Sus scrofa: one gene and its partners. The protein of the gene in region 7 purifies or fractionates together with the protein of the main gene of each other region. This does not show direct contact. Links are inferred from orthologs where the notes say so. Each region holds a gene or a part of one and is shown on either strand. Other genes may lie near its edges.

The links.
Region 1: the proteins of KPNA1 (region 7) and CDKN2AIP purify together in Homo sapiens (co-immunoprecipitation; 4 studies listed by BioGRID and IntAct, with this or other methods). This does not show direct contact. The link is inferred for Sus scrofa from reciprocal best matches to the Homo sapiens genes KPNA1 and CDKN2AIP.
Region 2: the proteins of KPNA1 (region 7) and NCBP1 purify together in Homo sapiens (co-immunoprecipitation; 3 studies listed by BioGRID and IntAct, with this or other methods). This does not show direct contact. The link is inferred for Sus scrofa from reciprocal best matches to the Homo sapiens genes KPNA1 and NCBP1.
Region 3: the proteins of KPNA1 (region 7) and SLX4 purify together in Homo sapiens (co-immunoprecipitation; 3 studies listed by BioGRID and IntAct, with this or other methods). This does not show direct contact. The link is inferred for Sus scrofa from reciprocal best matches to the Homo sapiens genes KPNA1 and SLX4.
Region 4: the proteins of KPNA1 (region 7) and MAU2 purify together in Homo sapiens (affinity purification with mass spectrometry; 3 studies listed by BioGRID and IntAct, with this or other methods). This does not show direct contact. The link is inferred for Sus scrofa from reciprocal best matches to the Homo sapiens genes KPNA1 and MAU2.
Region 5: the proteins of KPNA1 (region 7) and TRIM27 purify together in Homo sapiens (co-immunoprecipitation; 3 studies listed by BioGRID and IntAct, with this or other methods). This does not show direct contact. The link is inferred for Sus scrofa from reciprocal best matches to the Homo sapiens genes KPNA1 and TRIM27.
Region 6: the proteins of KPNA1 (region 7) and CHD8 purify together in Homo sapiens (affinity purification with mass spectrometry; 6 studies listed by BioGRID and IntAct, with this or other methods). This does not show direct contact. The link is inferred for Sus scrofa from reciprocal best matches to the Homo sapiens genes KPNA1 and CHD8.

What each region holds. Positions count from the first base shown.
Region 1 is NC_010457.5:44,884,286-44,888,421, reverse strand, and holds the start of CDKN2AIP (CDKN2A-interacting protein), read right to left. Parts: upstream 2,801-4,136; 5' UTR 1,627-2,800; coding exon 1,355-1,626; intron 882-1,354; coding exon 751-881; intron 48-750; coding exon 1-47. UniProt on the Homo sapiens protein: Regulates DNA damage response in a dose-dependent manner through a number of signaling pathways involved in cell proliferation, apoptosis and senescence.
Region 2 is NC_010443.5:239,506,073-239,509,572, reverse strand, and holds part of NCBP1 (nuclear cap-binding protein subunit 1), read right to left. Parts: intron 2,979-3,500; coding exon 2,857-2,978; intron 1,409-2,856; coding exon 1,339-1,408; intron 616-1,338; coding exon 400-615; intron 1-399. UniProt on the Homo sapiens protein: Component of the cap-binding complex (CBC), which binds cotranscriptionally to the 5'-cap of pre-mRNAs and is involved in various processes such as pre-mRNA splicing, translation regulation, nonsense-mediated mRNA decay, RNA-mediated gene silencing (RNAi) by microRNAs (miRNAs) and mRNA export.
Region 3 is NC_010445.4:38,660,404-38,663,903, forward strand, and holds part of SLX4 (structure-specific endonuclease subunit SLX4), read left to right. Parts: intron 1-770; coding exon 771-917; intron 918-1,550; coding exon 1,551-1,720; intron 1,721-2,563; coding exon 2,564-3,500. UniProt on the Homo sapiens protein: Regulatory subunit that interacts with and increases the activity of different structure-specific endonucleases.
Region 4 is NC_010444.4:58,539,749-58,543,248, forward strand, and holds part of MAU2 (MAU2 chromatid cohesion factor homolog), read right to left. Parts: intron 1,803-3,500; coding exon 1,712-1,802; intron 927-1,711; coding exon 799-926; intron 404-798; coding exon 329-403; 3' UTR 1-328. UniProt on the Homo sapiens protein: Plays an important role in the loading of the cohesin complex on to DNA. Forms a heterodimeric complex (also known as cohesin loading complex) with NIPBL/SCC2 which mediates the loading of the cohesin complex onto chromatin.
Region 5 is NW_018084804.1:149,269-152,768, reverse strand, and holds part of TRIM27 (zinc finger protein RFP), read right to left. Parts: intron 1,101-3,500; coding exon 985-1,100; intron 863-984; coding exon 830-862; intron 1-829. UniProt on the Homo sapiens protein: E3 ubiquitin-protein ligase that mediates ubiquitination of various substrates and thereby plays a role in diffent processes including proliferation, innate immunity, apoptosis, immune response or autophagy.
Region 6 is NC_010449.5:77,764,476-77,767,975, forward strand, and holds part of CHD8 (chromodomain-helicase-DNA-binding protein 8), read left to right. Parts: intron 1-332; coding exon 333-543; intron 544-938; coding exon 939-1,134; intron 1,135-1,822; coding exon 1,823-1,990; intron 1,991-2,186; coding exon 2,187-2,366; intron 2,367-2,507; coding exon 2,508-2,618; intron 2,619-2,970; coding exon 2,971-3,167; intron 3,168-3,415; coding exon 3,416-3,500. UniProt on the Homo sapiens protein: ATP-dependent chromatin-remodeling factor, it slides nucleosomes along DNA; nucleosome sliding requires ATP. Acts as a transcription repressor by remodeling chromatin structure and recruiting histone H1 to target genes.
Region 7 is NC_010455.5:138,043,784-138,047,882, reverse strand, and holds the start of KPNA1 (importin subunit alpha-5), read right to left. Parts: upstream 2,801-4,099; 5' UTR 2,796-2,800; coding exon 2,667-2,795; intron 1-2,666. UniProt on the Homo sapiens protein: Functions in nuclear protein import as an adapter protein for nuclear receptor KPNB1. Binds specifically and directly to substrates containing either a simple or bipartite NLS motif.

The DNA of each region.
Region 1 (4,136 bases), on a different chromosome or scaffold from region 7:
GCTTTTTCCTTCTATGGCTCGTTTTTTCATTGGCTCTTCTACCCCTTCTGAAAAGAAAAAGATACGTGACTAAGCCTTACCTCACACATACCAGGTAAAAATTTACAAGACAAGTACTCATATTAGAATAAAGGCACAAGGAGTTCCCATCAGGGCTCAGTGGTTAACAACCCGACTAGTATCCATGAAGACTCAGGTTCAATCCCTGGCCTTGCTCAGTGGGTTAAGGATCCAGTGTTGCTGTGAGCTGTGGTGTAGGTCGCAGATAAAGGTCAGATTCTGCGTTGCTGTGGCTGTGGTCGGCAGTTGTAGTTCCCATTCAACCCCTAGCCTGGGAACCTCCATGTGTCACGGGTGCGGCCCTAAAAACACACACACACACACAAGTAAAATAAAGGTGCAAGGAGAAAATATTTCAGGACTAGCAGATTGTTTAAAAAGTGTACAATAAATTCATTAATTTCTTTTAACAGTGGGGAATAACATCAACAATTTCTAATATTAAAAAATCAACAGCACAGACAACACTCGACACTTTACAATCTCACACAAAGGAAACTATCAAATTCAGAGCCTAAAACACACATACAATTTAACATTCCAACTTGATTAATAGCATTATGTAATTGTTATTCTATTTATTATGTAATGTTATTCTAACGTTAAAAAATTAGTAGTAACAGTAATTCCTAATTACATCAAACTTAAGTTCTAAACTCCTATGTATGTTCACATCTATGATCTGCTAACCATTGCTACTCGATATCCCTCTTTTCTTCACCTTGGCAACCAGTTCGTCTCTTGTGGTATGGATTGGAGCATCTGTCACTTTGATGCCTTCAGCCATACTAAGAATTTTATCCATAACTTTTTGAGGGTACCTGTTAAAAAAAAAAGAGAGAGAGAGAGAGACACTTTAAAAAGTGTTTCTGCTAAGCTGCCACCTCTGGGGTACAAAAACAGGCCACAGGAACTGCCATTTCCTGGTTGTAATCAAGAAACTGCCCCAACCACCAGGAACTTTGTTTCCTGGAACCCCATAAACAAACGCGCCAGGGTCTGGGAGGCGGGGTCAATCCTTACCAACCTAGTTTAAATTTAGCGTCCCTCTCCCCTCAAAGCTTTGTCAGCTCAAGGCCAGCAACTCCACCAGCAGCTCCCCAGTCAACGGGGGCACCTCCAGACGGTTCATCATGTCGGCTTCTGGGAGGGATGCCCTTCTCGCCCTTAGAGGGCAGACGGCACCGCAGCTTCCCGCGCTTCACCGCTTCCCCTCCACGCCTAGGGCTCCGGGCCCCAGGCCGGGGCAGAAGCCAAATCCAAGAGAGCTGCTCAGGGAAGCCTGCTCACTCACCGGCACCCGAGGAAGACGTGGTTGGCCCAAGCCATGGAAAAGGAGATAAGCTGCTGCAGCTGCCGATTTCGGGTCCCGCTCTCCGCATCGGCGGCCTCCTCCGGACGAGCGGAGGCAGCGCCGCCGGCGGGGGCCAGGTCCCCGGCGTTGCGGAGCAGGAACTCCCGGCGGTGGCGCCAGTGTTTGTCGGTCTCGCCGTCGCAACGCAGCGCCTCCACCCAGGCGGCTACCCGCGGGTTCTGGCTCAGGTACTCCGACACCTCCTGCGCCATGTTGGGCCTGAGGGTCGCGGAGGCCAGGAGCGGATGCTGCACCGAGAAGGTGGCGGGGAGCGCGGGCGAGCGGCCCTGTCACTGAGGCCTGCACCGGCGGCTATCCAGAGAACGCCCCTCGGAAGGCCCAAACACCAAACAACAGAGCCGAGAGCAGCTGAACCGCCCACTTCCGCCCGCCGCCGGCTCCTTCCCTTTTATAACCTCGCCGCCGCCGAGCGCCCAAGCGTCCTTCCGGCGTGATCCGGCTCTCCCAGGACGCTTTGCGGCGCGCGAGCAGCCGCGGCGCTGCAGCCCCGGCCGCAGGGGAGGGGAGGGGAGTGGAGGCGGGGCGAGGGGAGGTGGGCGTGCGCCTCCCGCCCCGCTAGGGCGCGCGGCCAGTGGAGTCGCCCGGGACCCCCTCGGTCTGGACTCCAAGACTCCTCGTTTCCGGTCGGCTTTGTGACGCCGCGCCCTCTGGCCGCCTCCCTCCCGCGCCGGGAGGGCCGAGTTATCGCGTGCGGGGCGCGTCCTCCCGGACTTTAGCCGCCGCCCGGACGCGAGGTCTGGGCGTCTCGGCAGTAAGACGCCGATTTTGAGCGGGCCAGAGTAAACAAAACTCGCTCCAAATTTCCATTATGCAGAAAACGGCTTCCAGCTCTGTAGACAAGTGTAGACAAGCGAGGCCTTCCGAGGCAGTCCGGGTCGCGGGGCATTCAGGAATGTGCGGGCGCATATTAACTTAAATTGTACTAATAATAAAGGTAATAAGGTAATATTTAATCCTGTTCGGGGTTGCCTTGTGGAGCCCAGTCTTTGAAAACTAGTCCTGGCCCTACAGACTTGGGTTTGGTTTACGCAGTTCAGCACGGGCAGTACGTCTTCCCCTCTGGTGGGTTTTAGTCAGTAACTTAAACGCTGCGCCAAGGACCTGCAGTCTCTGTCGTGTCTCCTTAGATTAACAAACAGTAGCCCCGCTGGTCGATGGTCAGGAGGCGACTTGGGAAAGTGCGTTTGTCTCTTCGCCTCAAATCTTCCCCTCTTAAAGCTTTCTTTTTTCTTTTTTTTTTTTTTTTGCATTTTTTAAATATTTGAGTGTCCACACTTAAATCATTACTGCCGGCTTGCCTGTTGTTTCCAATATTATTTCCAATAATATTAGGCATTTGGGTATTTTATGGTTAATAAAATTTAATAAAAAGATAAGTGATAACATAATGATAAATTACGAAATAATAAAATTTGCTTTCACTAAATATTTGTTGATTTTGAATTTAAAATAATTAGAATAGGAGTTACCGTCATGGCTCAGTGGTTAACGAATCCGACTGGGAACCATGAGGTTGCGGGTTCCCTCCCTGGTCTCCCTGAGTGGGTTAAGTTTTCGGAGTTGTCATGAACTGGTGTAGGTCGCAGACACGGCTCAGATCTGGCGTGGCTGTGGCTGGCAGCCGTAGCTCTGATTAGACCTCTAGCTTGGGAATTTACATATGCCCTGGGTGCCGCCCTAAAAAGACAAAAACAAAAACCAACCAAACAAACAAAAAACAATAATCAAACAAGCAAAAAGAAAGAAAAAGCCATGTAATTTATATGCATACTGGAATAAGCAAAATTCAGCTAGTAAATGAAATCAATAGTGCCCACTTTTCCTGCCATGCCAAATGAAATGACATAAAAGGCATAGGCACAGAGAACTGTTGAAGCTTGGGATTTTGCTTCTAGTTTTGCTCTTCTTTCCTATTTCCCTAAAGCTTTAGAGGGGTGAAAATATGTGGGAATCTGGCAATTTAAAAGACTAGAGAAATTTCATGGTGTTTTCCTTTCATGTATTCTTTGGCATGGGGGAAAGAGCAAGTAAAAGAATCTGTGCTTACATACCTGGATGATATTTGCACATTTTAAACCAAGAATTTTCTCACTTTTTTCTTTTCGTCTTGTAGCCTTCCACCCAGGGGCTTCATTGCCTTGCAGGGAGAGCAAATAGAGCCTGGATTTCAAAATCCATTGTTAAAGTTATAATAAAAGCAATATGGTCAGAAAGCTGGAGTTATTTCTCGTTTGCAAAAGCCAGGTACTTGACAAAAAGATACATGTTTTGGTTTTTTTGTTTGTTTTTGTTTTTCCTTAAAAGTTTGAATTTGCACATGAAGATTCAAGGCATAGACCATGGACCACAAAGTTAAGAAGAGTACTATATATTGGACTAAAAAATTTTTTTAAGCCCTCTCACCATACAAAGACTTAATGAACTGGAGGGAGTAAGGATTCAGAGAAAAAGAAGGGAACTTTCGAAAATCAATGTGGGGCGGTGTGGCTTCGATTAGGAGTAGGGAAGTGTTGACTCTCTCTGGACCATTAGAAGTAGACAGCCCATTAGTGCCCTGAGCCAGCTTGGGTTGCCTTTAGAGGAGAAATGAGAGAAGTGCAAATCAAAACTACAATCAGGTATCAGCTCACACTGGTCAGAATGGCCATTATCCAAAAATCTACAAATAGTAATGCTGGCGAGGGTATGGAGAAAAAGGAAC
Region 2 (3,500 bases), on a different chromosome or scaffold from region 7:
CATTTTGTGTGTGTTAATAATTTAATCCTCATTACAACTTTATGCTATTATTATTTCTTTAGGAAAGTAAGGCTAGAGAGGCAAATAATTCACCCAAGATGACACAGCTAGGATCTGACTAAATCAGGATTAAAACCCAAACCAATCTGGCTCTCAAACCTACACTCTTCAATTACATGCTGTGCTGTCTCTTAATTTACACAGGATAAATATGATTTCTTACATAATGAGGTAACACCATTCACAAAATTAGACTGTTAACTTCACTGCCACTGACTCTCTTAGATAATAAACAACTCAAAATTAAAATGTCCAACCAGCATAATTCAAACAAGATTAAACCACAAGTACAAACAACACAGGCCCTTTGAGAGGTACTTCTGCTGGTCATGTATGTACCTCAGGATCGTCTGTGTAATCAAACATCCTGAAGATGACCCTTGGCATCGGGTACACGGAGTCTTCAGTGTGAGGAGGTGGAGTGAAAGGAGGCAGGTTGTGCTGCAGTGCTTCACACAGAATGCTGTCAAAGGCAAGATAAGGTCTTAGGATGTGTCGCTCCTGCCAGCGATCCTTTTTCAATTTCTGAATCTGGGCCCACAGGCAATCTAAATACTAAAGACAGATTATTTTTAATAATTAATAGATATTTGAAGGCTAGATGAAATCATATTTTGACTAGACAAAACCAAAAATCAACTATTTTCTAAAATACAGGAAACAAAAGGAAGCTAACTTACAGTTAAACATAGTACAAAGAAACAGTGCTAAGTTTCTGTGGTTTTTTTTTTGGCTTTTTAGGGCCGCACCTGCAACATATGGAGGTTCCCAGGCTAACAGTCCAATGGGAGCTGTAGCTGCCAGCCTACACCACAGCCACGGAAATGCAGGATCTGAGCCGCGTCTGTGACCTACACCACAGCTCACGGCAACGATGGATCCTTAACCCACTGAGCAAGGCCAGGGATCGAACTCACAACCTCAAGGTTCCTAGTCGGATTTGTTTCCACTGCACCATGAAGGGAACTCCTAAGTTTCTGTTTTTACTTCAATTACTTTGTAAAGACTGGGGCTGTTACACTTATTTTTTCAAATTGGGCATTCTAACAAAAAATACATCAATTCTATGATATCTGGAATCCCCAGAATAGGGACTGTTAATGACATTCTAGATTTATTAAAAATCCACTATCTGCATATGGCTATGAGGAGCTGAACCCTTGATATGAAATGTGAAAACGTAGCCAAGGTTTCACAAGTGGAAGGACTCGAACATGTCACAGATATTAGAATCTACTCCAACTGTGCTTGTATCATAAGAAACTGAAAACAATTTACCTCTTCTTGTGGATGTGGTTTCTCAGCAGTCCATACCTGTAACATGGGCACATGAGTCTTTTGGCGTCTTCTAAAGATAAAAATGAAAATCTACATTTAGGTTTTTAAAAACATGAAAAGATGTTCAGTTGTTTTCACAATTAATAAAATTCAAATTAAAGGAGTGAAACACTTTAACCTATCAGATTGGCAGATATCAGAATCTTTGATAATGTATTATATTGCCAAAATGTAGGCAAATACAAAGTTTCAAAAACTCAAAAACATTGCTGGTAGAGGGATAATTGATATAATCTCTTAGAAGAGATGTGGAAGAGTCTAATCTCTTTGGAAGGCAATTTGACTACATCTATCAACATTAATATAGTTAAGACACTTCAACCCAGCAATGCCATTTCTAACAACACACATGCCCCACAAACATATGTGCACAAAGACACAGGTACAAGGATACTCACTGAAAACACTGTTTACAATAAGGAAAGACTTGCATAGGCCCCAAAGTCTACCAACAGGAGACAAGTTAAAGAAATTATGGTACATTAAAAGAGGGGAATACTGGAGTTCCTGTTGTGGCTCAGCAGGTTAAGAATCTGACATAGTATCCATGAGAATATGGGTTCAATCCCCAGCCTTGCTCAGTGGGTTAAGGATCCAGCGTTGCCACAAGCGAGGTGTAGGTTGCAAATGTGGCTTGGATCCGATTTGGCTGTGGCTTAGGTCTGCAACTGCAGCTCTGATCTGACCCCTACCCTGGGAACTTCCATGAGAAGCAGGTGTGGTCATAGAAAGGAAAAAAGGCGGGGGGGGGGGGAGTGTAATACTATACAGCTGTTAAAAAGAAGGAGGTAGAACTATATACTTTTATGCGACAAATCCAAACTACACTGGTGTGGGGGAGTACCAAATGTGTACAGAAGAAAAAAAGCAAGTGTGTACACCATATCATTTGTATAAAAAGGGGGAAGGACTTCTTCAAACATTAGGATATTCATACTCTTATTTTCATTCTTTTGCAAACATCTAGATATTATTTTTAAAAAGTAAAACTTTTTTTTTAAAGGCTGCACCTGTGGCATATGGAAGTTCCCAGGCTAGGGGTTGAATCAAAGCTACAGCTGCCAGCCTACGCCACAGCAACGTGGGATCTGAGCTCTATCTGTGACCTACGCTATAGCTCATGGCAATGCCAGATCCTTAACCCACTGAACAAGGCCAGGTATTGAACCCGCATTCTCATGGATACTAGTTGGGTTCTTAAACCACTGAGCCACAACGGGAACTCCTAAAAAAGTAAAATTTAAAAAAATATAAAACATTGAAAAAATCATTTAAAGTTAACAATGTAATGAGAAAGCACATTTTTAACTTTAGACTTACTTTAGCTTTATTTATAACTAAGTAGATATTAACAATACCCAAAGAAGTATCTATTAACAGAAAATGAAACTTGCAATCAAATTATTCTGAAAAAACTTAAGGGGACACAAAACCACTATCATGCTGCTGTGTTCTTACTTGAGATAGCTTTCAGTGTTGGCAAAGATGCGGTCCATCTCGGCATCTTTCTTTTCATACAACTCCTTTCCAACCCAGGGTAAGGACGACAGAAAGGCATACACGTACCAATCCCGCCGCACCTAAAGAATATTTAAAATAGGTACAAGTGAATTTTCATACATAGTATATCTATTCTTCAATGAAATCCTATGGACACTAATTAAAAGGGCTTAAAGAAAATATCTGGCTCATTCAGAGTATTTTTAGATACCTTAGTTTTAATCTTACCAGAATGGATCATTTAACTAAAATACAGATGTCATGAGAACCCACCATTAAGCCAGCTGACCTAATTTTTAGATATTAAGTTTTTTTGCTATAGGTGCAGCATGTGGAAGTTCCCAGGCTAAGGGTCGAATCAGAGCTGCAGCTGCCGGCCTACACCACAGCTCATGGCAACTTCAGATCCTCAACCCACCAAGTGAGGCCAGGGATGGAATCTGAATCCTCATGGATGCTAGTGGGGTTTGTTTCCGCTAAGCCACAATGGGAACTCCTAGATGTTAAGAATTTATAATGTGATAACCTGCCGTGAATCTTTTGGGTTTTTTTAATTACTAAAGGGTGAAAAATTCGTGGTACTGTATGGATAAGATTCCATA
Region 3 (3,500 bases), on a different chromosome or scaffold from region 7:
AAGCGCATGCCCACGGGAGCCTCCTATTCCCGGGGCTCTGCCATGAGGCCTTTGTCCCTTTTGTCATTGAACTCTGGGGGCACGTTGGTACCCGGGCCCAGCAGCCTGCCCTGTCCTGGGGCCCAGGGGCGCACCCCTGCCCCGAGAGGGCACCTCCTGCAGCCGGTGGCCCCGCACGCTTGTCTCTGGATGCTCCGTTCCCTCGTTGAGGCCTTGAGGTGCCCTCCCGAGGGCGAGTCCTGCACGCCTCCGGCCAACCGCCCTGTTCTGTGTCATGGCGGAGGAGCAGAAGCTAGGTTCTCCCTCGAGTGGATGTCGTCCTGTTAGGCCATCACCATCAGCCACTCTTCTCACCAAGGTCTCCCTGGAGATGTGGCACCTGTCACGGAGGGGACAGGGAGCTTGAGGCCGGCCCCACGGCCGCATGGGCTCGGGTGCCGTGCGTTAGCATCAAGCTGGGCCGGTAGTCACCCTGCACACCGACTGGCACACGAAGCACTCAGCGGCCGCTAGTGCTGTCACCCCCTTCTGATGAGGTCGCCAGTGCCAGGCCTCTCCGCCGGCTGGGCCTCCCGTTTAGGCCAGGGAACTCGTCGTGATAGAGAATTTGAGAGGGAACAGGGTTGGCCGTTCTGAGGCTTAGCCTCTCAGAGGTGGAGCTGACGCCGGGCCTTGGGAGCAACTCGAGGGCTTGCCGCCCGCACACCCTCAGTTGGGCACCTGCACAGCTAGGCGGGCGGCACATGGAAGTGGTTCTCCTCTTGTTTCAGCTCTCCCTCGGTTTGCTGGTGGCTGACTTTGGTGCCATGGTGAACAACCCACACCTGAGCGACATCCAGTTTCAGACGGACAGCGGCGAGGTGCTTTATGCCCACAAGTTCGTGCTTTATGCCCGATGCCCACTTCTCATGCAGCACGTGAGTGCGTGGCCCGACTGCCCCTCCCTCCCCTCCTCCCCTCTCCCCGCTCCCGCTCTCCCTCTCTCCCCCTGCCCCTTCTCTGCCTGGCCTCTCCCGTCCTACCGCCCCCTCAGCTCCCCTGATCTCAGCCTCCCCCGCCCCCCACTGCTTCTTTCTCTGCTGCCATCCAGGCCATGCCTCCATGGAGACGACATGCAGCTCTATGCGCAGATGGACCTCAGAATTGGGAGACATCAGATTTCTTGTTCCGCTGAATAAAACTGTTTCCCCCCAGAGTTGTTTCCTTACAACATTTGCATGATTGTAAAGTTTTTAAATCAGCCTCTCTAAGGCTGAGCTGCTGCAACATTTCTGTGCCATCTTTCATTTGACTTAAACATCACGTTGCAGGAATCCAGAAAACTGCTGTCAGTCTCATCAGAAAGGTCTCATGCCTTTGATGCATCTGTCAAGAGGGGACTCACTGGGTTCTGGAGCATCTGTCACTGATTTGATTTTGGAGACAGGTTTTGAGGCCTAACCTGCAGAATCTGCATCCTGCAAAATGGAGCAGCACAGGCGAACGCCCGTCCTGGCTCCCAGGTCATGGCTGTCCAGTCAGGACAACTTCTGCGTGTGTTTCTCCCTCAGGTAAACAGTGAAGGCTTCTTCGCCTCAGAAGATGGTGACGTGAGGGCCCAGCGTGTCCTGCTGAGTGACGTCAGCACTGAGGCCGCCTGCGTGTTCCTGCATTACCTCTACACCGCGGACGCCACCCTGCCCCCGTGGCTGGCCCCTGACCTGAGCTCTCTGGCCCACAGGTCTGGACTGTTCTTTCCGTTTATGGCTCTGACATTAACTGACAGGGATCCTCTGGTCGATGGCCCGTGGGAGGGTCAAGGCTGGCTCCTTCCTGTCCCTTCTGACGCCAAGTGTGGGCTTGGTGGTGACCTTGAACAGGGTGTACTCACTGGAAGTCTGGCCAGAGCAGGAGAGGCGAGTCCTGGCTTCAGCTTCCTGGGTGTGATGAGCGGGCGGTCCCAGCCTCAGCCCCCAAACGCTCTTGCTCCTGGGTGGTTTTGCCACCAGAGCTGAATAGCTGCCCCTTCCCAAGCCGCAGAAAGCGGAAGTGAGGAAATGCTTGGTCTAAGTCCCATGAATTTGCACCTGCCAGTTTGTCCACACCAGTATCTCAGGATGGGTGGCAGGTGGCTCAGCAGAGAAAAGGTGTTTCGACTCCTCTCGGGGCTTAAGGGCCTCTGGGGTGAAGCCGTGTTCATCCCTCAGGCACCTCCTTGGGCAGGAGGGGCTCAGCCTCTGGGGCCTCAGACGTACAATCAGACCCCAGATCCGTCGATCGGGTGGCAGGCTGGCCGCCCCGTCTGCTCAGTCACAGTGCTTTGGGGGTCCCGTCCCGCCGCATCTCTCCTGCCTGTGATCCTCCCCCAGCCACGCGGGGCCTGTGCAGCAGTTAGTCACCCTCCTTAAAGGCTCACAAGTCTGTTCCTAGAACTGAGTGGCCTGGGGCGTTGCTGGGCCTGAACACAGGCACCGTCTCTGTGGGGGAGCGGGCACCAGGCTGGGTGAGTCACGGTTGCCCTCCCCATGAGGACTCCGGCACCACCTCTGCGCAGGCGGGGTGACGTGTGCGTTTCCTGTTGCAGGTTTGGTGTGAGTGAGCTTGTCCACCTGTGCGAACAGGTGCCTGTGGGGCCGGACTCTGGGGGCGAACAGAGGAAGGAGCAGGAGGAAGGGGATTGTGAGAGCAGAGGGGAGACTTTCCGGGAACTCCTGCGGTCCATGTGGCGGGGCGAGGAGGGAGCAGAGGCTCTGTCGAAATCTGAGGGCTGCGAAGAAGACGACACAGAAGAGGTGAATGAGGAGGAGATGGAAGAAATCTATGAATTCGCAGCTACTCAGCGAACGCGGCTCCAAGCGGGGAAAGCTCCAGAGGTGGAGGAAGAAGCTGAGCAGCTGCAGGAGGAAGCCCCTGCTTCTGCGGGAATCCTTGGGAGCACTGAGGATAAAGAAGAGTCAGAAAGCGCAGAACAAATGGCTTCATCTGGGCAAGGAAGAGATGAGGCCCCAGCCCCACGGAAGAACGTGAGAGAGGCCACACGCCTGCCTCTCAGGGACCCGGCTGTGGGCAGGGAGGAGAGCGCGGAGGCCCCAGAGGAAGGCCTGGGCCATTCCCACTGCCCCGGCCCTGCCCAGGGCCAGGCAGACAGGGGGGACAGCACCCCTCTGTGCTCAGTCGATGCTGCTGCTGCTGCTGCTGCTGCTGCTGCTGAGCAGCCGTCTTCCTCCCCTCACGCCGACGGCCCTGAGCCATCCCGGAGGACGAGCGATCGCCAGGAGGGAGACGGCTCCGTCTGGGAACTGGGGGTGGACAGTTCCCATCCCCCTGCCCACCAGCAGGCACCCCCTTTGTGCTCACACTTCGTCCCGTCACAGCCCCCTCGGGGCAGGAGTCCCCATCGGCCACACCCTCTGCACACCAGTGCCCTGTGCCTGCCAGCACCCCAGCTCCTGGGCACACCTCCCAGGGCGCCCTCCTCGAGCTCACCACCCAAGACAAGCGGGGTCAGAAGCCTCCCCCCG
Region 4 (3,500 bases), on a different chromosome or scaffold from region 7:
TGACTCAGACGTGGAAGTAGGACTGGCAGTTCAAGTCCATTTTGAAGGATGGCTCTGGAAAGTCGGCTCCAACATCCCACATGCAAGCCTCAGCACACAGGCTCCTGGTACTCGGCAAGAATGGCCAGCCGGCCTTTCCTGGGAGGATGAGAATCAGCCCTCCACACTCCCCAGGGACTTGGAAGCTCTGGAGACAGTTGGGAAAGAAGCCTGGGGACGGCCACACCAGCACACCTCCAAGGAAAGCTCAAGTGCCGTCTCGGTGCAAGTCGGGAACACACCAGGCCCCATGGAGCCCCGAGAAGCTGAGTGGCCCCTTCCAGGGGCCTCACAAGAGGCTGGCCAGGCTGGTATTGGGTCCATTCTGAGCTTGGAACTGCAAAGGAGGCGGGCCGTCTGTCCACTGCAGGGGGAAAGGACACACAAGTGAGGTCCTTCCTAGAGAGGAGCAGGAGTGTGCTGGGCTGCACTCCTGCGCCTGGAATGCTGCCCTCTTCAGGTTAGTCACCAGCCAGGGCCCTCCATCTTCCACCCCGAATCAGATGGGCCTCCAGGAAGCAGCCTACATCACCCGCTTGGGTGACAGGTGCCATCCTGCCCATCCAAGGAGGCTCCTGAGGCTAGGCTGAGTTAGGGACTGTTGGAGAGGTACAAGGAGAGGGCAGCCAAGTGTGCACTTCCCTCCTCAGGAAGCATGCTCTCCCTGCCAGGGCACTGGGGAACACTATAGGCCAGGTGAGCTGGCCCCGAGGAGCAAACCAGCACCCTTGTTTTGTCCTCCCCACTCTGTGCTCGTACCGTGATGAGGTTGTGTTCGGGGAGGCTGCAGGCTTCAATGTGGTCCTGGAGCAGCTGCTGTGAGAAGTTCTGGTGCATCTGGGCGGCTTCATGGGCATCCATGGCATTCCCGCAGGCCTTGTTCAGGTCTGAAGGTGGCATACGTGCACAGGATGGGCCTGCTTTGGCCTGCCACTGCCCCCAGACCCTCCCCTCGGGTGTGGGTGGAGCCCTAAAGTCACACCCCAGCTCCACCAGTGGGTTCCTGTGTGCCTAGCACATCACTTGCCCTGAGCCCTATTTCAGGGTCAGCAAAGCCCACTTGCCAGAAGCCCTCACACACGTTCCATATCCTTGAAGGTGAATGAGCAGCAAGGCCCACAGGGGCTGAGAGAAGGGCTGGTAGGGAAGTGAGAGCCCTTGGGGCTCTCTGTGGATGCTGGCCCAGTCAGGGCACCCAGGAGCTCACTGGGAACAGGGCATCTCACTGAGGCAGAAAGACTGAACAGATGTACAAAGTCCATCGCAGTTGGGAGCAGTATGTGCTCTACCTCCTCCCCAGGGCCCTGGGTGAGTCTATGGACATCAGTTTCAAAATCTGTAAATGGGAGAGTAGAAGTAACACCACTGACACCTGCTGAGTGCCCTTCCGGTGCCCACAGCACCCTGGCTGGTCCTGCCTGAAAAGGCTGACTGCCATTCCCATTCATGGGAAAGAAACTGAGGCCAAGCATCAGGAGTCCCAGAGACAGAATCGGACTCTGTGTTGATCTCACTACATGAATGAGCCCACTGCCCTCAAACAGGGTCTTCTGAGAAGACTGAGAATGTGCCAGAACTGGGATTATGGTCTGCAGAGGCCTAGTCTAAAGCAGAGGCTGAGAAGGGCTTAACCAGCATCTTCTAAGCCCAGAAGCCCTGATTTCTTACTCACCTCTTAGCAAGGCTGATGACCACAGCTGCACTGACATGTCTGGGATCTTGCTGGCCAGTTGCATGGCGGGCACCACCATGTTGTTACTCTCCTGTCAATGAAGAGCAGCAAAAGAATTGAGGTGGGGGGGGTGCCTGTGGCTGATGGTAGGGACAGCTTGGGTCACACCTGTGACCTCCTCCTAATGCCCGGCAAATTCCTACACCTACCTCAGAGCCTATCTTGGATAATTTTTTGTCTTTTTTTTTTTTTTTTAGGGTCACACCTGAGGCACATGGAAGTTGCCAGGCTAGGGGTCAAACTGGAGCTGTAGCTGCTGGCCTACACTATAGCCACGGCAATGCCAGATCTGAATCGTGTCTGCTACCTACACCACAGCTCATGGCAACGCCAGATCCTTAACCCACTGAGCAAGGCCAGGGACTGATCCCACATCCTCATGGATACTAGTCGGGTTTGTTACCACTGAGCCATGATGGGAACTCTGAGCCTATCTTAAATGACCCTCTCTGAACTACTCCTTGACCACCTTGGGGAAAAATGAAACGTCTCCACTCCTTGGCTTGGCATATGCCCTCCTCACTGGGGCACAGTCAGGGGCAACTCTATGTGCCTTTGTCTTTCTAACAAGAGAAAAAGGACTGGCAGCAGTTAGCTCTGGACCCTTATCAGGAACTGATTAGAAATACAGATTCAGGAGTCCTCAGGCTGGGAAGAGGCAGCAGTCTGTCTTGGTGGGGACAACGAGGGTTGAATGGACAAAAGAGAGAGGAAGAGAAGTTTCTGTTATAGATATGAGCCCGCTCTTGTGGGAGGCCACCTTGTGCACAAAGGGCTGTGGGGCATCAAAACACATTAACCCTCCAACTCTGATTCCACCATGTGATTCCAACAGCGCCACCCTCCCAATCCCCAGTATGAGCTGAGTGAGAGCCACTGGGGGCTGTAAACATCCATCCTTGACCCTGCAGTGACCAGGAGCACTGCTCTGACTCCACCCAGCCCAAGGACCTCAAGCCTGCTGGCCTAAGTGTTGGGTTCAGGGTGACAATGGGAGAACTTCCTACGGGGCAACCCATTGCAGCCTGAGGAACTCTTGGCATGTAGCCCAGAGACATATAAAGCTTCAAAACCAATTCCTGAGGCCCGCGTTCAAAGCAGCCACGGCTGAACGGGGTATGCCTCCAAAGAGACACTAAAGCCCAATGACTTTATGCTGCCCTATGGCCAGCACCTCAAAGATGAGCTCTAGGTGGGTCTCAAAACTTTTCGAGGAGTTCCCATTGTGGCTCAGCAGGAATGAACCCCGACTAGTATCCATGAGGGTTTGGGTTTGAGCCCTGACCTCGCTCAGTGGGTTAAGGATCTGGTATTGCCATGAGCTGTGGTGTGGGCTGCCCACTGGCTTAGATTCCATGCTGCTGTGGTGTGGCATAGGCCGGCAGCTACAGTTCCCATTCAAGCCCCCAGTCTGGTAACCTCCATATGCCACAAGTGCAGCCCTAAAAAGAAAGAAAGAAAAAAAAAAACTTTTCAAAATTGAACCAAGCTCTTCTAAGATTTCAGAATGCATGGCAGAACAGGAAAAACTACTCTCATCCTATAAGCCTAGGCTGGGCCTCTGGAAGCTGCTGAGAGGGAGTTCCCTTTGGCTCAGGCCTCCTCGTGACAGCTTGGGGGCCACCCACAGAACCTGGTTTTGAAGACTGGTATGATCCTGAGAGGTGTTCTGCATGAGGCCTCCTGCAAACTCGCAATGCCCACGAATGCTCTGGCCCTAGCAGATTTA
Region 5 (3,500 bases), on a different chromosome or scaffold from region 7:
AAGAGCATGTATCTGAAAAGATACAATGCAAATAAAGTCTTAGCCTACATAGCAAATTACCAGAGATTATGGGGATTTGTAGTAAGTAAAAAAAAAAGTTCACCTACATATAAAGATTTAACATTCTACCAAACTGCCTAGGAATTTTAGCATTTAGTATATAGGCATATGTGCTATATGCTCATATGTGATCATGAGCAGAAAACTTTGTTTGGAAGATCATCCCTTAAATACCAAGAACACTTTATTTAATAAACATTAAGTGTAGGGTTTATTACAGGTTAGGCTCCATTCTAAAAGGCTTTAGAAATGGTATCTAATTTAACTTAATCCTTAAAACCTTGTGAGGAAAGAGCTATTATCTTCCTCATTTTACAGAGGAGGAAATTAAGAGTATAGAATCCTCAAGTGGCAGAGCTGAGCCCAGGACCCAGGCAGCCCAATTCCTGAATCCCTGTTCTCCCAACCGCTTCCCTGGAGGTATTGCCTCAATCAGCACTATAAATACCAGCTCAAATGAAATGTAGCTAGGATGGTTTCTGTTGATTCTCTTTCTCAATTAAAAGTAATTTTAAATAATCAAATTCTGGATTAATTATTGTTGGCCTATCTTCCTCCTCCATTAATATAAATGGAGAAATGAGTGCAGATAGCTAAATAATTTCAAATTGAAACCAGAGGCTATTATTGAAAAAATTAACAAAGCGAAAAGAGACGTAAAATGGCTGGCCAGTGGATGTCCCCCCTTCCCACTTTGCCACACTTCGTGCAGATGTTGTCTTCCCAGGAAGCGTCAACATCAAAAGCCCAGTTAAGTAGATAAATTTACCTTGGATTTTCTCCATATCTGATTGCATTTTTTCTAAGGGGAGAAAAGAAGATATTCAGTTTGCATCCCACTGTTTGGCTGGAAAATACATCCTCTCGGGCAAACCCTGAGAGCATAAACCCATTTCCCTTCATGGACTTCTCTTCTCATATTACCTGTGAACTGCTTCAGACTCTCAGTCAAGAACAGACATTTCTGGGCAAAAATGTGGATCTTCTCTTGCAGATCTGGAGGTGTGATCCAGGGCTCAGGGATCCTGATTCTTTCAGCCCTAAGGTTAAAGAACAAGAATGAATCCCTTGCCAACCTTCAAACTTTTCAGGGTCCAGGACAAGTCCTGGGTTAAACTGGTCAGTACAGGTGGACAGTCTTTAAAAATAGCCACTACTGGTGGGATTGTAAATTGGTGCAGCCACTGTGGAAAAGAGTATGGAGATTCCTCAGAAAACTAAACATAGAACTACCATTTGATCCAGCAATCCCACTTCTGGGCATCTATCTAGAGAAAACCACGACTCGCAAAGACACGTGTACTCCAATGTTCACTGCAGCACTATTTGCAATAGCCAAGACATGGAAACAACCTAAATGTCCATCGACAGAGGAGTGGATCAAGAAGATGTGGTACATATACACAATGGAATATTACTCAGCCATTAAAAGGAATGAAATACCGGCATTTTTAGCAACACGGATGAACCTAGAAATTATCATGCTAAGTGAAGTCAGCCATACAGTGAGACACCAACATCAAATGCTTTCATTGACATGTGGACTCTGAAAAAAGGAGAGATTGAACTTCTTTGCAGAACAGAGGCTGACTCATAGACATTGAAAAACTTATGGTCTCCGGAGGAGACAGTTTGGGGGGTGGGGGGATGTGCTTGGGTTATGGGATGGAAATCCTGTGAAAGTAGATTGTTATGATCATTATACAATTACAGATGTGATAAATTCATTTGACTAATAAAAATATATATATTAAAAAATTAAAAATAAATAAAAACAAAAATAGCCACTACAGCCTTTTTGCTATTCTCCTCCTAGGCTATAATCCTCTGGGCCAGAATAGGAGAAACATCTTACTTTTTCATATCCCCTACAGCACTAGCTCATGGCTTTTCAAGTGGCAGGTCCCAAAAAGGTTTACTGAATTTAAACCTAATATAAGCCTGACTTTGCCAGAAAGCACCAGGTTCCAGGAAAAAGTCCTTGATATCTGTGGCAGGCAATGATTCAGAAGCCTCAGGTCCCCAAATAGGGTGAGAATGATATCTACAGAGACAGAGGGTCTCTGGACAGTACCCAGTTACCCATCACCCCCCTCAAGGGGGTTTATGACTGATTGCTAACTGCCCACCCAATATCCATTCATCTTCCAAATTTTACTAGGTTCATGCCTATCCAGTCTAGATGTGACCTTGTGACCTTTTCTGGCCAATAAGAAGTAAGAAGTACCTTGCGGTAATTTGAGAAGTCTGCTTCAAAAGGAATATGATTTGCATTATCTCTTTCATGCTGGTTGGTACTCTAGCAATTACCTTGGATGCCAAGAATAAGGACCATACCTTGGATGCCAATAATGAGGACCAAGGTGGCAGAAGTTTAATTGAAAAGAAACCGAGAGTCTGATGATCATGGCGCCACCAAACCAGCCCTGGGCTACCTACTTGCACATTTCTTTTTTTTGTTGTTTTGGGGTTTTTTTTGTTTGTTTTGTTTGTTTTACTTGCACATTTCTTTAATGGTGATATTTCCTGTTACATTTAAGCCTAAGTCAATGAAAATTAGAGTTTTCTATCTCAAAGGAAAACTTAACTTCCAAAAAATGCTAGCATCTAAAGGAACTATCTCCCTGTTAGTTCAGAACCACTCTGCTTTCAAAAAGTAAAAGCAGCAAGTGAATGCAGTATTTGTTGAGGTCACTTGGCAGGAACTGGTACAAATTCCAGCTCATGACCATCCCACCCTAGGAGCCCTAAAAAATTTCACTTCTACCACAATTCTATCCACAGAGTCCTCCCAACCAACCTACCCCATCTGTGATCTCCTCCCATAAGCATCTCAATGTTTCCACATAACCAAGCTGCATTTCCCCAGCAGGGCTTTCACCTTTCAGAGGGTATCAATCAGCTTCAAACTTCAGTTCCTCGGTCTCTACCCCAGTAGGCACTCCTGCACCAAACATCACATCCCCAAGGCCTAGCCCATTTGTCTTTGCCCTCCGACCCTGAAAACACATTTAATCTTGGCTTCTTGCCCATCTGGGCTTTCCCTGACTGGCCATGTCTCAGCTCCCAGGCTGCTCTTCCTCACTTTCTGCCTGATGATAACATTAGAGAAACAATGAGAACAAGAGCCAGGATCTAGGTAACTCATTACTCACTATATTAACTCTGAGCTGGTCATACTTTTCTTAGACCATATTTTCCCCATCACAGAAAAAAGAGAGGCAGAGAAAAAGAAAGACAGAGATAATGAAAGAGAAAAGATTCTGAAATGCTTAGGAAACAAGAACTATAAAATACCCTGCACTTTGCCCAAGTCCCTGTCACAGTCTCCATGGAGGTGTCCTCATTCACCAACAGCACCCTCCAAATAAGCCCCCAACTCTACCCTCTCACCCCTCAAATTTATCAATAATTCCTGAGTTTTACTGCGAAGGGCTGCA
Region 6 (3,500 bases), on a different chromosome or scaffold from region 7:
CACTGGTACTTCATTTTGCTGTTTTGGTTTTAGATGCCAGTAGGGTGGTAGTAGTGATTTGCACCTACTATTCTAGTCCTTATCTGTATGTTTTACGCAGTTACAATCTTAAGCCTGACTTAACGTGGAATATTTTGTATTTACAAAATTGGGGATGATTTAGAATTGAGGGGATGATGCTGAAGATCTGTGTGTGAGAAATAACTGATATCAAGTCAGATTACCTTTTTTTTCCTTGCTTCCTTGTTTCAGTTAAATTGCAGCCTTGATATGTTTCCCTGGATCTCACCATCAAGTGCGATTTTTTTTTTTTTTTTTTTTTTTTTTGGCAGGTGCAGAAGAAAAAATCCTAACAGAATTTCGAGAAGCTTGCCATATCATACCTCATGACTTCCACTTGCAGGCCATGGTTCGTTCAGCTGGCAAATTGGTTCTTATTGACAAGTTACTTCCCAAACTTAAAGCTGGTGGCCATAAGGTTCTGATCTTCTCCCAGATGGTACGCTGCCTAGATATCCTAGAGGATTATCTTATCCAAAGGAGGTGAGAAAAGAATCATTCCTCGCCTGTGCTGATTATATACTCATGAAAAAGCTGCCAAGAGGAGTTCCCTGGTGGCTGAATGGGTTAAGGATCCAGCATTGTTACTGCTGTGGCTCGGGTTCGATCCCTGGCCCAGGAACTTCTGCATGCTCTGGGCATGGCCAAAAAAAAAGAAAGAAAGAAAGAAAAAAGGCTGCAAAGAGTAGGAAGGCTTGGGTTTAGTTAAAGTTGATCAGGACCAAGATAAAAGCAGTGTTAAGACTGTCACTCTTAACTTTCTGGTAAGGTTTTTGGTGAACTAGAGATGTAGAGGTAATGGTATTGATCCCAGTCTGCTCTTTTGTTCTTTTTTTCTACTTAGCTGGTTAAACTTTTTTCCTGTGATTCCCATACAGGTACTTATATGAGCGTATTGATGGACGAGTTAGAGGCAACCTTCGGCAGGCTGCTATTGATCGCTTTAGTAAGCCTGACTCAGACCGATTTGTCTTTTTGCTATGCACCCGGGCCGGTGGACTTGGCATTAATCTCACAGCTGCAGATACTTGCATTATCTTTGATTCAGACTGGAATCCACAAAATGATCTGCAGGTAAAGGAAATCATTGTCTTAGGGATTAATTACTTAACCTGGGAGGTTTTGCAACAGGATCAGGATTTCTTAGAAAGACTTGTCTTTTAGGAAATATGGAATTATTTAGTCAGGTAGGTCACCAAACTTTTTCTGTAAAGGACTACATAGTATATGTTTCGGGATTTGCAGACCAGACAGTCTCTGTTGTAACTATTCCTCTATGTCCTTGAACCACAGAAGCAGCCATAGACAATATATAAATAAATGGATAGAAGTATGTTCCAGCAAAACTTTTTTTATTTTGTCTTTTAGGGTCTCACCCACGGCATATGGAGGTTCCCAGGCTAGGGGTCCAATCAGAGCTATAGCTGCTGGCCTACACCACAGCCACGGCAATGCCGGTTCTTTAACCCACTGATCAAAGCCAGGGATTGAACCGTGTCCTCAAGGATGCCTAGTTGGGTTTGTTAACTGCTGAACCACGACAGGAACTCCCTGTTCCAGCAAAGCTTAATTAAAACAGGTGACCAGGGTTTACTGACCCCTCATCTACATGATGGAGCAGTGATTTCATCTTGAAGTTGACCTTTGATTTTGAGTTGATCTCATGGATGCTTAATAGATGTAAATTGGTATTTTGAATCCTTCTTCTCCCCCTGACTAATTTTATGTTATCTTTGCCCTTCCTTCCACTTTTAAAAACCAGGCCCAAGCACGGTGTCATCGAATTGGGCAGAGCAAAGCTGTGAAGGTGTACCGTCTCATCACTCGTAATTCTTATGAGAGAGAGATGTTTGATAAGGCTAGCCTCAAGTTGGGATTGGATAAAGCTGTACTTCAGTCCATGAGTGGTCGGGATGGCAACATTACTGGAGTGAGTCTTTAATCTATAGATACATTTATTTATAGCAGATCATAGTGATAGAAGATGGCAAAAGCTATTTTTGTATAGAAACCTGACTCCTTGTTTGGGTTCTCAATTACTAATTCTTAAAATATAATAAAATATCCCGAGGTGGTTTAGATAATAGTCCCTTGAAGTCTCTTCATCTTTTTATGGGATTTTGTAGATCCAGCAGTTTTCCAAGAAGGAGATTGAAGATCTCTTACGAAAAGGAGCGTATGCAGCCATAATGGAGGAAGATGATGAGGGCTCCAAGTTTTGTGAAGAGGACATTGACCAGATCTTGCTAAGACGAACCACTACCATCACCATTGAATCTGAAGGAAAGGGTTCTACCTTTGCCAAGGTATGTTTTGTTGGGCTAGAGGCTAAAGAAGCAGAGATAGAGAGGAATCTCTGAAATTTAATATATATTTTAAATATACGCATTTCACATTACTCAAACAAGTATTATAGTCAACTTTCCTGTTTCTTTGTTCCTCACTAGGCAAGCTTTGTTGCTTCGGAAAATAGAACAGATATTTCTCTGGATGACCCCAACTTTTGGCAAAAATGGGCCAAGAAGGCTGACCTGGACATGGATCTACTTAATAGTAAGGTGAGCTTCCTTTTCCTTTAGGGAGGAAGTATGCAGAAAACACATTACTTTCAGGAGTCTTTATACCTACGCCGATTCTTCAGTGCTGACCTTGGTTTATGATGGTATATACAAGGGCCATTGTAAAAACTTTCTACATAGGAGGCCCCAGGAAACCACTTAGATAACTGCCACTTAATTTTGTTTCCAAGGTTCCTCCCGTAGATTATTTTGTATGCCCCCCCCCCCAAAAAAAAGCTACCTCTGCGTATCTACAAATGTTACATCCAAAGCTATTTCAATCTGATTGTCTAATTCCTCTCCCATGAGTGTATTGTGAAGAGAGTTACTTCTCCTTCTGTTCTCTGCATAGAATAACTTGGTGATTGACACACCTAGAGTACGAAAACAGACCCGCCACTTCAGCACTCTGAAAGATGATGACCTAGTGGAATTCTCTGATTTGGAAAGTGAAGATGATGAGCGACCACGCTCTCGCCGACATGACCGTCATCATACTTATGGGCGCACTGACTGCTTTCGGGTGGAAAAGCACCTCCTGGTGTATGGGTAAGAACCCACCTTTCCATGAGAAATAGTGCATCTCCATCCTGATAGACACCCTGTTTCCTTTTCAGATTGGAAGTTAGGGTCACAGAGGGGATAATGGGGAAAACTTTATTCTATTACCATGTTTCCCCAAGATCTTTTTCTCTCCCACCTTTTGGGAGATGTGATTCTGAGGGACTGGGGAGTATCACATAATTAGAAAGTCCTCAGGAAAATATCAATGTGATTTCTTTCTTTGTTTTTTCTAGTTGGGGACGGTGGCGAGATATTCTGTCTCATGGACGCTTCAAGCGACGTATGACTGAAAGAGATGTGGAAACAATTTGCCGGGCC
Region 7 (4,099 bases):
GCCCAAGCCTGTAATTTTTCCCGATAGATGACAGAGCAACTATGGGAAGATAAACAGTACCTAAATGAATCTGTATTTTACTGATGTTTACTATTTTACAAATTAGGCATGAAACAAGTACTGATGTGATATTAAGAAGCGTGATTTGTTTTTATGAGTTCTCCCTACATAAGATGGCATGTATGAAACAACAAAATTAAGATTTTATTTATTTATTTTTATTTTTTGTCTTTTTAGGGCCACATCTGCGACACATGGAGGTTCCCAGGCTAGAGGTCGAATTGGAGCTGTAGCCCCTGGCCCATACCACATTCACAGGAACTCCAGATCTGAGCCACATCTGCGACCTACACCACAGCTCAAGGCAATGCCAGATCCTTAACCCAATGAGCAAGTCCAGGGATCGAACCTGGATCCTCATGGATGCTAGTCAGATTCATTTCCTCTGAGCCATGACGGGAACTCCCAAAATTAAGTTTTTTGTTTTTGGGTTTGTTTTTATTTTTTTTGCTTTTTAGGGCCACACCCGAAGCATATGGAGGTTCCCAGGCTAGGGGTCGAATTGGAGCTACAGCTGCCAGCCTACACCACAGCCATGCCAGATCCGAGCCCCACCTGTGACCTACACCACAGCTCATGGCAACGCTGGATCCCTAACCCACTGAGCGAGGCCGGGGATCTAGTCCACAACCTCGTGGCTCCTAGTCGGATTCCTTTCTGTTGTGCCACAACGGGAACTCCTTTTTTTTTTTTGGAAGATTTTAAATAGAACAATATTCCAGAAACTTATCATAGAACTATCTTAAAGCACTAGCACAGTTTCAGATCACATACAATGAAGATGACAGAACTTCAACTATCAGTGTTTTATTAGTCAGATAAGTGGGGCTATACCTGTCACCTGATAAAGCATCTGCCTTAGAAGTGCCAGTTGTGGCTCATCAGTAACAAACCTGACTAGTTTCCATGAGGATGAGGGTTTGATCCCTGGCCTCGCTCAGTGGGTTAAGGATCTGGACTTGCCATGTCTAGCTTGCACACATGGCTCAGATCTGGCATTGCTGTGGCAGTGGTGCAGGCCAACAGCTGCAGCTCCAACTAGATCCCTAGCCTGGGAATTTCCACATGCCGTGGGTGCAGCCCTAAAAAAAAAAAGACAAAAAAAAAAAAAAAAAAAAAAACAAACCATGCCTTCAGGGAACTGAATATGAAAATTTTACTTTGTTTATATTATAATGAAGTCTAATAACACAAAATCCCCATCACCAAAAAGAAACAGTATAAAATGTACACTATTAATGGCAGAGTGCCATTACTACATCTTCAAATGGCTTCATGCCAAATATAAGTCATAGGCTACTGGTTATATTCAGACTTGTGCTTGGGTGTGTATACATGTATTCATATTTACATGCAAATATAAATATGTAACAGTACTGTTGTAATTTCTGAAACTTACCCCCAAAACAGAAGCTAAATAAACGCTCATCCAAAGAAAAGGTTCCACTTCAAATAAGACACATAGAGGAATAAAGAGGCAACAAGAAACCAAAAGAAACTAATCCTTTTATGAGCAAGTGGTTGCTTTCAAAGATCATAAAGCAGAATGTTAAAAACTCCTAACTTAATTTGCTGAAGTTAATACAAGCTGTATTACAATATTACAAACTCAGTCCCTACCCTCAAACAGTAAGAATGACATAGTGATTCAAACATTTGTAGCCTAAACAAAACACTGAGGTTGTAATGTACTCTTGGACTTCACATAACTGGATTATCTAGTGAACTACTCAAAACAACAGTGTATATATCGAGAATACCTCACTAAAAAATATTTTTTATCAGATTACCTTATTTCTCAGGTATGCCTTTTACAGAGCTTTTATAGTATGGGGGTCAAGTGGTCCTTCCAAGCTCAAGTCTTAGGAAAAAAAAGTCACCTAAGTATTCTATCTTTTAAATTTCTTTGCCAAAAGTGATGGATCACCTGTTCTATGAGTATTTTTAGAGTAAGGTCAAGTGAGAGTGAGTCTTAGGATCACTTGTAGATGTTCTCAGGTTTAAAATGATCAAAAATCCTTGCCCTGAATGTCTTTATACAGAATTGAGGAGTGAAAAGACTTAGTCCTTGAAATTTTGTTTAAAATACGTCATAATAAAAAAAGTAAAGATAGACACATGAATCAAATACAGCAAACTGTTGACAATTAAACCTCATAATGGGTTTAACCCAACCCAAAGGATGGGTTTATGAGGTTCATTATCTACTCTATATTTTTGTATATGTTTATAAACTTTCAAATTAAAATTCAGAATAAAAAGCAATAATTTATTGGCCACTTGAGAATTCATTAATATACATATACAATCCTTACAGAAGTTGTAACTTTAGAAAAATTTAACAGGCCAAAATACTAAACAGAGGTTATACTAGGAACATAATAACCTGAGAGATTTCTCCATTCTTATATCCTACCTTTCATTACCTACACTCTCCTACACCTAAAATAAAGGATTTTTGGTTTTATAGTGGGGGGAGGTAATATATGTATATATACACACACATATGTATTAAACATCATTAAAATTAAAACAAAGGTTTGCTGTCAGGATTAAAATGGAACATTATGTTAGTTCTGAGAAATTAATGAGGTTAAAGGACTTACCTGCTCTTCTCTTTTCTGCTTACGTAACTGTAGTCCTTCTTCCTCCCTTCTCCTGCGCATCTCATCAGGATTCAGGGACTTATTTTTATAACTTTTCAGGCGAAAGTTCTCTTTTCCTGGGGTAGTCATGATTTCTACAAAAATAAGAGAAAGGGAGGGAACAGAAGAACTTAGCTTAACATAAAGAGCTCTGTTACTTTAATAGCTCGCCTTTTTTCTTTTTTTTTTTCTGTCCCACAGCACAAGGAGGTTCCCAGGCTAGGGGTCGAATCAAAGATACAGCTGTTGGCCTACACCACAGCCAAAGCAACACAGGATCTGAGCCATGTCTGTGACCTACACCAGATCCATAGGTTCCCAGGCTAGAGGTCGAACTGGAGCTGTAGCCACTGGCCTATACCACATCCACAATTCCAGATCTGAGCCATGTCTGCAACCTACACCACAGCTCACCGCAATGCCGGATCCTTAACCCACTGAGCGAGGCCAGGGACCGAACCCGCATCCTCATGGATACTGGTCAGGTTCGTTTACCGCTGAGCCACGACAGGAACTCCAATACTTCAGCTTTTTAAACATACAGATATACGTGCCCAGATCCCCCACACTGGAATGTCAAATGATTACTTCAACAGCTTTATTAAAGTGTACCATTAGTATGTTCACAATTATGTGCAACCATCACCACAGTTAATTTTTTTAACATTTTCACCACCTCAAAAGTGATCACTCCTATTCTTGATATTTTATATGAATAGAATTATGTGTGATCTTTTGAGCCTGGCTTTCTTCCACTTAGCATAATATTTTCAAAGCTCAACTATGTTGCAGCATATATTAGTACTTTATTCCCTTTTTTGGCTGAATACTATCCCATCATACATACATACTCTATTATACTTACCAACTCATCAAATGATGGACATTTGGATGCTTTCCACTTTTTGGCTATTATAAATAGTGCTTCCATAAATACATGTGGACAAGTTTTTATGCAGAAATGTTTTCATTTCTCTTGGGTATATAATTTATATACATTGTTTAATCATTTCAAGAACTGCCAAACCTTTTCCAAAATGGCTTCACCATTTTACATTCCCAACAGAAGTGTACCAAGGTTTGCCAACCATATCCTCACCAATACCTGCTATTGAAACTTTTTTTTAATTGAAGTATATATAGTTGATTTACAATAATGTGTTAGTTTCAGGTGTATAGCACCTTAACATGAGATCAAAAGTATAACAACCTTGTGATTCTAGCCAGTCTAGATGGCTAGATGTCTTTTAAAATATTTATTTGCCAACTACATATCCTCCATAAAAAAAGTCTATTCAGATTCTTTAACCATTTTAAAACTGGGTTATGTCTTTTTTTTACCATTGAGCTGTATGAATTCTTTATGTATTCTGCCAAATCTACAATTTGTTAAT